Drosophila melanogaster: one gene and its partner. The protein of the gene in region 2 interacts with the protein of the main gene of each other region in a pairwise test. Each region holds a gene or a part of one and is shown on either strand. Other genes may lie near its edges.

The links.
Region 1: the proteins of CG42238 (region 2) and CG9609 interact in a two-hybrid assay, tested with the Drosophila melanogaster proteins (one large-scale study listed by BioGRID).

Annotation. Positions count from the first base shown.
Region 1 is NC_004354.4:16,784,615-16,789,127, forward strand, and holds CG9609 (uncharacterized protein), read right to left. Parts: upstream 2,395-4,513; 5' UTR 2,137-2,394; coding exon 1,951-2,136; intron 1,891-1,950; coding exon 865-1,890; 3' UTR 501-864; downstream 1-500. Other genes in the region: mRpL22 (mitochondrial ribosomal protein L22), read left to right, coding at 1-17, 132-349; Sap30 (SIN3-associated polypeptide 30), read left to right, coding at 3,336-3,728, 3,953-4,081.
Region 2 is NT_033779.5:21,048,546-21,054,252, forward strand, and holds the start of CG42238 (uncharacterized protein), read right to left. Parts: upstream 3,439-5,707; 5' UTR 3,315-3,438; coding exon 3,229-3,314; intron 2,878-3,228; exon of another isoform or gene 2,458-2,877; intron 1-2,457. Other genes in the region: Itgbn (integrin betanu subunit), read left to right, coding at 4,589-4,676, 4,740-4,816, 4,913-5,099.

The sequences.
Region 1 (4,513 bases), on a different chromosome or scaffold from region 2:
GAGCAATCTGTGGATAGGTGAGCCGCAGGGGCACAAGGAATCTATGTATCCACTATGAATGATGGATTATCATTAGTTTCTTCATCACTAACCATTATATTGATGAATCTTTGTCTGTTCTTACCTACCAGCCGAATCCTTCGTGGGCAAGGGACGCGTCTTCAAGGGCGTGAGGCGGCATGCTCGCGGTCGCTTCGGCAAAGTGGAGTACAAGCACTGCCACTACTTCGTGCGCCTGGAGGAGGGCGAGCCGCCGCAGCACTACTACCAGGAGCCGCAGACGCCGGAGCAGCAGTACGAGAGCTGGATGGAGCAGATGCGAAGCCGGAAGATCATCAACTCGCTGTAGCCACCTGAATTGGCACTCGTATGCAATCGATCCGCACTCCTGCAGTCCTCCATCGCCATCGCGTCCACGCGCATTAAGCATTTTTTTTGGTTTTAGAAGATTGTTTAATAAAATAGAAACAGACAAAAGAACTATGTCAGAGGTTCATATTGTTCTTATTTTTACTTAGAGGAGTTTATTTTATTTAGTTTTGCGCGTATATACACAATGGATATTATTGGTTTTCTCTCTGGATGCCCGAGAGTTTCGGAACTCTAGTTGAAGTCAGGGAATGTTTGCAACTGTAAGCTTAAAGTAAATAAACTAATTCGCTCCAGGCGAATACTACTAATAATAGCTTACTAATTTATGCAAATTAATGCAATTTCGGATGTTTCTGAACGCAAATCCTAAGTATTTACTGATAAATTAGTTGTTTCTCTTTTAGAAGTTGTGGTTTAAATTAAAGTAGTCATTCAATTGTTAGCCTCTTGACCAGACCTTCTCACTCCCGTCCCTTTGAATGGCCTTTTGCTCTACTCCTGCTCCTTTTCCTCTTCATCCTGCAGGGTCTGTGCCAGCAGCTCCTCGACGGGGTCATCCTTCAGCGACTGGGTGATCTTTTCGAGGACCAAAGGCTGTCGCTCGCGCACCGCCTCATCATCTTCCTTGTCCAATTGCAGGCAGGCCAGTTTGGATAGCCTCGAATGTTTGCTGCGTCCAGCATCGCGTCGTCGCTTGCGGGATGTGGACTTAGTTTTGCCCCCTTCTCCAGTCTTACTCTTGTCCTTCTTCTTGGCTTTCAATTCCTTTTTCGTCGCACCATCTTTGTGATCCCTGAGCAGATGTCTCGCCAGATTCTGCGCACTGCTGAAACAGCGGCCGCAGTCCAAGGCCTGGCACTCGAAACGCCTGCCCGAGTGGGCGGTGAGCATGTGCTGGCGTAGATTCCTGAGGTACGAGTAACTCTTGCCGCATCCCTCCTCGTTGCAGGTGAAGGAGGTGGCGCACTCATCCGTCTGCGCCGCCTCCTTGTGCTTCACCTCGAGGTGACGCTTCAGTTCGCTCGGCTTGTCGAAGGCACTATCGCAGCGGTCGCACTTATGGCGATTCTTGCCGTGCAACGAGTCGCGACAATGCTTCGTATACAACGTCCATTTGTCGAACTGCAGCGGGCAGCCGGGACACTCGTACAGCTTGCAGCTGGGCTCGTGACTCTGGCACTGCCACTGCTGGTAGAAGCCGCGCGAGCACTTCGAGCAGCTGTACGGATACTCCAGCGTGTGCTCCCTGATCTCGTGGCGCTTCAGCTTGAGCTTTTGCGAGAATTTGGCACTGCACTGGCTGCACGGATAGACCTTTGGGCTCTCGTGGGTTTCGCGCATGTGGCGGGTCATGTTGCTAACCGAGATGAACATCTTGCTGCACTCCTCCAGCGCGCACTTCACCGTCTTCTTGGCCGCCGACTCCGGACGCTCGTGGGTGCTGCGCAGATGCCTCTTTAAGTGCGTCACAATCGAGTACGTCTTGTCGCAACCCTCGTACGAGCAGGCGTGCTTCTTCTGCAAAGTGGTGGCGGCGTTACTACTGGCTTACACTTAACATACTCTAACTATACTCACAATCCCTGTGTGATGATACTCATGGCGATCCAATTGGTCCAGCCGCTTGAATGTGGCCTCGCATTTGGGCATGCTGCACGCGTACTTGGCCGAGCCGATGCTGTTGCGGCGTCCCTGGCGCTGCTTGAACTCCTCCAGAGCGGTCTCCATATCGCTGTCGCTGGCAATTTGCGTTCCAGGCGGCATTTTTGAGGGTTTTTATCTCCGAAATATTGCAATCTCTTTTTTTTTTGTGTTTTAGGTTACCGCGACATCCGCAAATGTCGTGGAATTATTTGGCCACACTCGTGTACGTGGAAATAGCCAAGGACTTAAGGTTGAAGAGATTGATTTTATTTCAATTTGGTGTAGCAAATCTATAACTTATAGGTTTCTTTTAATTTGGTGTAGAAAATCGATGATGTCCCTGGTAAGCGTTTATGATTTCGTTTTTGGAGAGATGGTAGATTTTTTGGTATTTTTCCAGGGCTGGAAATTGCTGCCTAGCAGTGTTGTACTGCAACAACTGAATAAGATGTACGATACGTTATCGAAAACGTTACATTGGTCACATTATTATTCATTTATTCAAAATATAATTGTCACATACGTTATAGCTAAGATTTTTTTTAATGTGCCTGGGAAAAGTTTGCAGTAACCCCGTTGTTTATTTGCAGAAAATTCTGCGTATTCCTTTTCCCAGTCTTTTTGAATGATTCTGTTTAATTCTCCAACTCACTACGGTGAAAATTCCTTGCGTCGATGCATTTAACAAATATATGCTTGTTAGTCCCCCGTCTCAGAAACTACAATCAAGAATTGGTCTGAAGACGAGTATAATAATATTCTATATAGACAAGCAGTCAGATACGCCTGAGAAAAAGGAAATTCAAATTTCATTGCACTAACGTGAGCTAGTGATGACAAAAACGGTAATTGGCTCAACTATCGTACCGGTGTGCGGTACCTATCGGAATTGGAATCAATGCTGGAAAAGGTAACTATATTTTGGTACACGGTATTTTTAAATTTAAGTACTGAAATTAACTAATATTTATTTAATTAATATTTTGTGCGATTATTAATACCAATTAAAAAATATTGATCGATAATCTGGAAAAAAATGCACTTGATATTTAAGATATTTGAGAAACTGCAAACAGTTTCAAATTGTCCGCTCTTGCCAGCTGCGGAGGAATTTCCCCATTTCCCAGTTTGGTCACATCGCGCTGTCGAAAGAAAATTTTTTTCTTGCAAAGAGAAACAAAGCAAAGCAATAGTCGAAAGTGAGAAAGACGAAAGAGGAGACAAAGGAGCGAAACGGAGAAAATCAGAGAAGCAGCAAGCAGAGCAGGAAGGGGGATTGGATAGGAACTCGAAAGCAATCGGCCAGGATCGGGAACAGGATGAACAACGGATTCAGCACCGGCGAGGAGGACAGTCGCGGGCACACGGACCAAACGTGCTGCCTAATCGACGACATGGAGCGGTGTCGCAACCAGGCTGGCTACGCCAGCTACTCCAAGCGCATCCAGAAGACGGTGGCCCAAAAGCGGCTCAAGCTCAGCAGCGATCCGGCCGCGCAGCACATTTACATCTGTGACCACCACAAGGAGCGCATCCAGTCGGTGCGCACCAAGCGTCGGCGCAAGGACAGCGAGGACGACAGCAACGAGACGGACACGGACCTGCACGAGTTCCCCGATCTCTACCAGCTGGGCGTGAGCACGCTGCGACGCTACAAGCGCCACTTCAAGGTCCAAACGAGGCAGGGCATGAAGCGGGCGCAGCTGGCGGATGTAAGTTTGACCTAGTTAACGAATTGAGCAGGCTATGTCCACTTTCTGTTGCCGGATTTCAGTGGGGTAACACGCTGGTCTAATGTGCTCCGTGATGCTCCATAGTTGGCCCTCTTGTAGTAGCCTCCACTCTAAAGAAAAGGCAGAAAAATGTGCCATGCCCTTTATAAGGTTTTCTAAACCCTGTTTTAATCAAGTTGCAAACCTCTACTCTTCTCCCGCAGACAATTATGAAACACTTCAAGACAATACCCATCAAGGAGAAGGAGATCATCACATTCTTCGTGTACATGGTGAAGATGGGCTCGAATAAGCTGGACCAGAAGAACGGCCTTGGCAACGACACCACCTGAAGGCGCGTCGGCGGGCGGAGGGAGGAGGAGGACGCCGACGACGTCTACTCCTTTTAACGCTGGCCAACTGCCGATCAAAAGAAATTAACAACCAAACTTCTCACATTGTTGCTGCATTTGCTGGACGTCGGCATTGTTGACCAGAATAGGGATGAACGAGAATATTGATAGTGCAATGGCTCATCCTCATCCGTGTGACCCCCAAGAAACCCAATCCTATACCCATAAGCCACCACTGCCCAAACCCTTAAGCCTTTCCCCCGACTCCCCGGAACACAAGTAATATGCGAAAAGTAAAACAGCAATGAAAGAACGTAAGGAAGAAGGCAACTGGTGCTCCCACGAAAAACAAAACAAACAAAAATTAAAAATAAATAAACTAGTATGTTGCGAAAGTGAGTCTAATATTAAAAAAGAAATTTACAAAAACTA
Region 2 (5,707 bases):
ATTCAACGTGAACAAACTGAAGGTATCCCTAACAAACGGCTCCGAGCTCTCAATAATGGGGTCAGCCATCATCAGATACATTAACGAAACAATACAGATTAACGGTATCGATTACGACGGCACGGTTGACACGTTCCCTGAACAGACGGATTTTGATCTTCCCCCCATGCGAAAAGTAACTAGGAATACCACTATTACGGTACTAAGCCTAGAAAAACTGCACCTCGAAGCCACCCAAACAATGGATAAAATCCTGGCCGTCCATCACAATACTATACAGCACACCTGGACACTCTACACTCTGCTCGGATTGGTAACGTTCCTAGCAGTCATCTTATGGCTGCACCGACGAACGAAACACATCGTCCACATCCACGAGGATCATCACGTACCAATCTACGCGTCATCCATACCTTCGCTATGGCCGTCACTTCGAACTGGGGGGGGAGGAGTTACCACCCCACCCCCTAAACCCCCACGCCTCTAAACAAATCATCGGACACTCAACCGGGAAGACGGCAACTGGAACACCGCATCCGGCCGAATGCTGACATTACTCAAAAGTCGCACTGCAACATTGTCCCCAGCTAGCCAGCCACATGCCGAGTCGGCATGTTCATTATGCTTACAATTAAGAACCTATGTACTTATGTATAAGATGAAAACGGAGGATTCGAGTAGCCACTTTCTGACAATAAACTACACACTGATTTTGAACTTCAAGAAAGTCAGTCGTATTCTTTATTGGAAATCTTCACACTACAACTATCTGCTGAAACTTAAAAACCTTCATACATTTACACATCATATCTTCACAAAAGGCTCCACCCTCGATCACGGACTTAACTCGTGCACCTAGAGTGCCATTCCCCAGGGAAAACTGGACAGGGCACCGGGAAAATAATAGGTCTACCGTAGGTTAAGGGGTTGAAAAACAATGCACTAGCGTTTTCCATGGGCAAGGATGTAAAAGAGTGCATAAGTACATTTTATATATTATAGTTAATATAAGCAAACTATGCTCACTCTGTTGTTTGGCAACACTTCCAGAGATTCCTTATCAATATTAATGCTGTCAATTTAAGCTTCGCATTTGAATGTAAAAAGATATATAAGACATTTGATAGGATTAGGCTTCAAACGTAATATTGTTATTATAACTTTTTAATTTTATAAATGCCTCCCGTATTTCGTTCGCCAAGTTAAGCATTAATAATCCATTTAGCTGCAACTACTAATCTTCCCGGGACCCCAACTGCCTGCCCTAATTCCTCCTCATTTGGAACAGCCTCCAAATGTGAATTCTTCCTTGGTTTTATGGTTCCCGCTTTGTCCTCGTGTCATGCGGCAGGACATTAGGCAGGCAAATCACGTAAATTATGACCGGGCCACTATAATTTCTTATCGCCGGGACATGATTTCAAATGATAGACTGCGGAAAAGACTGGAATGAAGGCATCGCAGAGCCCTCGGGCAAAGATTTTAGTAGGCGCGACAAGTTTTTTTTTTTTGCATTTGCATATGTACATATGCATGTGTGTACATAAATATACATACAAACATTGGATTGGAGGAGTAGGAGGCTTTGGAAGGTGGACTGCAATTGGCAACTGGCGCAACGCATAAATTGAGAATTTTAATCTAATCCGCGGCATCTGGGAGACGCGTACATTAGCTGGCACCAGTCTGTCCCGTTCCGATCCGATCCGTCCCGTCCCGTCCCGTCCTGTCCAATCCCGTCTGGTCTTGTACGCTCTGGACGGGGGTCTCTTGGACCGCTTTTTGGATCGGATTGAAATCGCTCCGAGTCTCTGGGACTGGCCAAAAAGCAGCGCCTGCGACTACGAGTACGGCGACAATCGACAGGCAATAAATCACCCAAAGTTGCCAAAGAAATTTATGCGCAGCAGATTAGGATCGCGAAAAGCTTCATTAGAATACATTTTCATTGGAAAATGAGCGCCCGGCTAAGTGAAGCGAACGAATTGATGAGGAACAACTCTGTTAAATTCAAGTTGCAATAATTATGGATTCTGACGTTTGGAAATTCCTCAATGAATTTTATAGTTTAAAAAAATGAGTACTATATAAATGTGCATGCATACGAGCTCTTTTTTAATTTAACCAGTTTTCAAAAAATAACTGAAAAAGGGCACAGGCAAAAGTATACACACATTGCTCTTGCTGGGAGAATATGGACAATATACTAGATTATAGATATGTACATAGCTATTTGTCAAAGTTCAAATATGACTTGTCAGGAGCTAGTCCTCCAATCTGGAAATAATTCCACATAGCTTGTATCTGCTTCATTTTTCATAATGTTTTGTACTTCGTAGATTGAGTTAGGTAGTAGTCATTGCTCATACCAACAACCTAAGAACATAATTTTCTATTCGATAAGTTAAATATTACGATAGATAGAAAACCCTTGGGGAATTGGAAGTTTAAACTTACCTTTTCTCGCTTTCGTCTCTAAGTCTGCTGCGTCCTCTTCCACACTGCTCCTTGTTCTTGTTCTTCGGAAGTCCTGTTCTTTATATCTCAGGACATTAATGATTAATCCCAGCGTCGTCTGCTCTCCCCTATCGCTTTTTTGTTGTTTTTGTTGCTGTGCGTGTGCCGTTATTGGCGGTATAATCCAATAATCCAACACGAAACAGCGTGTGCAGTGGGAATTGCAAAAACTAGAGAGACACAGCCACACACACACAAACACATGTAGACTCAACCGCCTACACACACGCACACAGTTTAGCCGCTTTGTTTAGTAAATTAAACTTTTCACTTTTCTCTGCCACGGAAAACCAAAATGGACAATTTTCTTATTCAATTTCAGTTTCTGTTTTCCTTTCCTTAGTTTTTCTGCTTTCTTTTCTTATTTTTCCAATCACAAAAACACAGATTAGCATAGACAAAAGCAAAAGCAAAGGCAACAACATCCAAACACACAAAACAAAAGCAAATGCACGACGCCTACAACAACAGCAACAACAAAGCGCCGCCGTAGTACACAAAAAATTCCTTTTTCGCTGCGCGTCGTCTCCTTGCAGATATTCATATATATATATATATTTATTTATGTATGTATGTGTATATGTACATTTTTATATTCCACAGAGCAATTCTATTTTGCTTACTTTTTTAATGACTTTTTCACCTTTGATTTTTTTGCCGCACTTTAATTTGACTGCATACTTTACATCTCCATCTCTATCGCACACTCACCGTTTAATTGAGAAAAACACACACGATCTCGTCAATTGGTCGCGTATTTGTCGCCGCTCATTTGGTAAACATTTGGAGTTTTTCATCCGATTTTCCGCTACAAACACAAAAAATGCGAAACTCCGCGCTCCGCTCCAAAGCTGAACCGTTCCGATTGAAAATCGTCCGCTGTACGACCCCGCGATTTGAAAATTTTTCGCCGACTGGCCGTTTCATGAGTGTTTCAGTATTTTGCTGCGTCTTTTTACCCACGATTTTGGTCACACTACTGCGCCATCCATCTCTTGTTCACACAGCCATTTCATAAAATGAAAGAAGAGGACAACAACATAATGGTAAAAATGTTTTTTCTCCGCGGGGTTGGTCACAGGATAGTAAGACCATGGCTCGGCTGGAGAATTATACCGCCCGAAGAGAGTAAGAGAGCACTAACTTAAGACCAGTTTTGACAAATTGAGCCTAACAGTGTGACCAGTAATTTCCTAATAAAATCGTTATTCTGACTTATATATTAAATAATTTAAATTCTATTTTACGTTTAAAATCATAAAAGCAATCTGAAAAACACAAGACTAACATTATGCCAACCGATAGTCCTATTCATTGTGTTATTTAATACAAATTTTTCTAAGAGAAGACTTGCACTAAATGAACAAAATTTTTTTTATTAAATTTGTATAGTTTTGCTTATGTGTAGCTGTTGGTTTGTTGTTGTTTGCTTTAGACTCTTTCATATGAATTCGTCTTGGTTTATTTTAGTATTTTCGGTCCCTTACAAGCTCTGACGGCTACAAAACTTGTGGCTCCACATATTTAAAGTACAAATATGTAACCCCTTCTCTACCATTAAATGGGAGCTGGTCTATAATATATTTCTAATGGGATGGAATTTTTAAAACAACTAGACATAAAAGTATACTTTAAGGTTTTGATTGTGACTAAATATGATATCTAAATAAATAAAGAAATGGATCTCCAAATAAATATACATATATTATGTATATACTTTCCAAACACTAATATTTATTTAAACAAAACATAAGAACGATAGCAGTGCATTTTTTATGTCTTAAAATGTAGTGAGTTAGACAACACGTGAATGAAATTTGCTTTCTTTTATTATCACTTATTACTCTCATTTATTTTTAAGAGTGCCATTTATTCTAATCACATCATTTTCCCAATAACTTCTCACATTTTTTGTCACTCTCTCCTGATAAGATACGAGCGGAGCAATCAACGTTTTTCGTACTGAACAAATATTAGTTACGCTGGACTTCTAAGGCCGAACGGTCGCTAGCTCCCTTAGCAAAAAAAATATATGTGATCGTTGGTAGTGAAAATTGCACGCATTTTGAAAATGACGTCACTGGGCGGAAGGGCGTTCTTGTGGATATATTTGGTTTTTCTAATAGCTGAGATCTCTCATTCGGATGCAGATTCAATTGGTTTGTTAGCCGGCAGCTTTGACGTGACATAACGGATTTGTTATCGCCATCTCTTTTACGCAGATGATCAGTGCAGGCACGCAGACAGCTGCGAAAGATGTTTATCCGCTCATCTGGAATGCGCTTGGTGCACGGACAAGGTGAGTACGAGGGAGATGGCAAGAAAACATAAACGGTTCCTACTGCTGCTGTCATCCTTGCGAAGTCAATCATTTTCCTATTTGGTTGCATATCAGGAATACCAGGTGGGATATCGTTGTCTCTCTCGCCGGCAACTACTTAACTACAACTGCAGTGAAACGGATATATACGAGAACCAGCCGGTCCTAGATGTCCTTCAGGATAAGCCCCTAAAGGACTACGAAACCAGTGATCAGGCTGTCCAAGTCACACCCCAGCGGGCATACCTTAAGTTGGTCAAAGGTGTGTGTTTGGATAATTGTTTTATTTAGCTTTTCTTATCTTATCAAATTTGATTTATCATGTGGCTACCAACACTTTTTCATGTGTGTCACCCTTCCAATTCTTCCCCACTACTTCGTATTTGTTCCACATTTGCTCCACATCATTTTTAAACATTTTGTTTTTGTGTCCGTGCTTTGCTTATCAGGCCTTGGTGGTTGTCACATCTTGTTATTGTTGTACCATTTAGCGTGGGAATACCTATCCCTCTCTTTCTTTCCGCCGTCCTTGTCCAACACTTTTGAAAGTTCACTGACCCAAAGACATTATAATAATTATAATCTAATGTCTGATTGAAAACCCACTTTATAGGTATTGAGATACTTACCTTATAAGTATTGTGATCCCAGAACTAATAGATTATGTATTCGTTGTCGTGCTGAATAAGCGAGCAAAAATGAGTCACAAGAATGTGCTTTTGTTGTTTATAAGTTTTCTCGAGGGTTGAATAATATTTCAATGAGTAAAACGCGATTAATTTCAAAAAAAAAAAAACATACATTAATATTTTGGAGCTTTGATCCGGAAATACTCAACTAATTTCTACATATATCACTAACTTCTAAGAT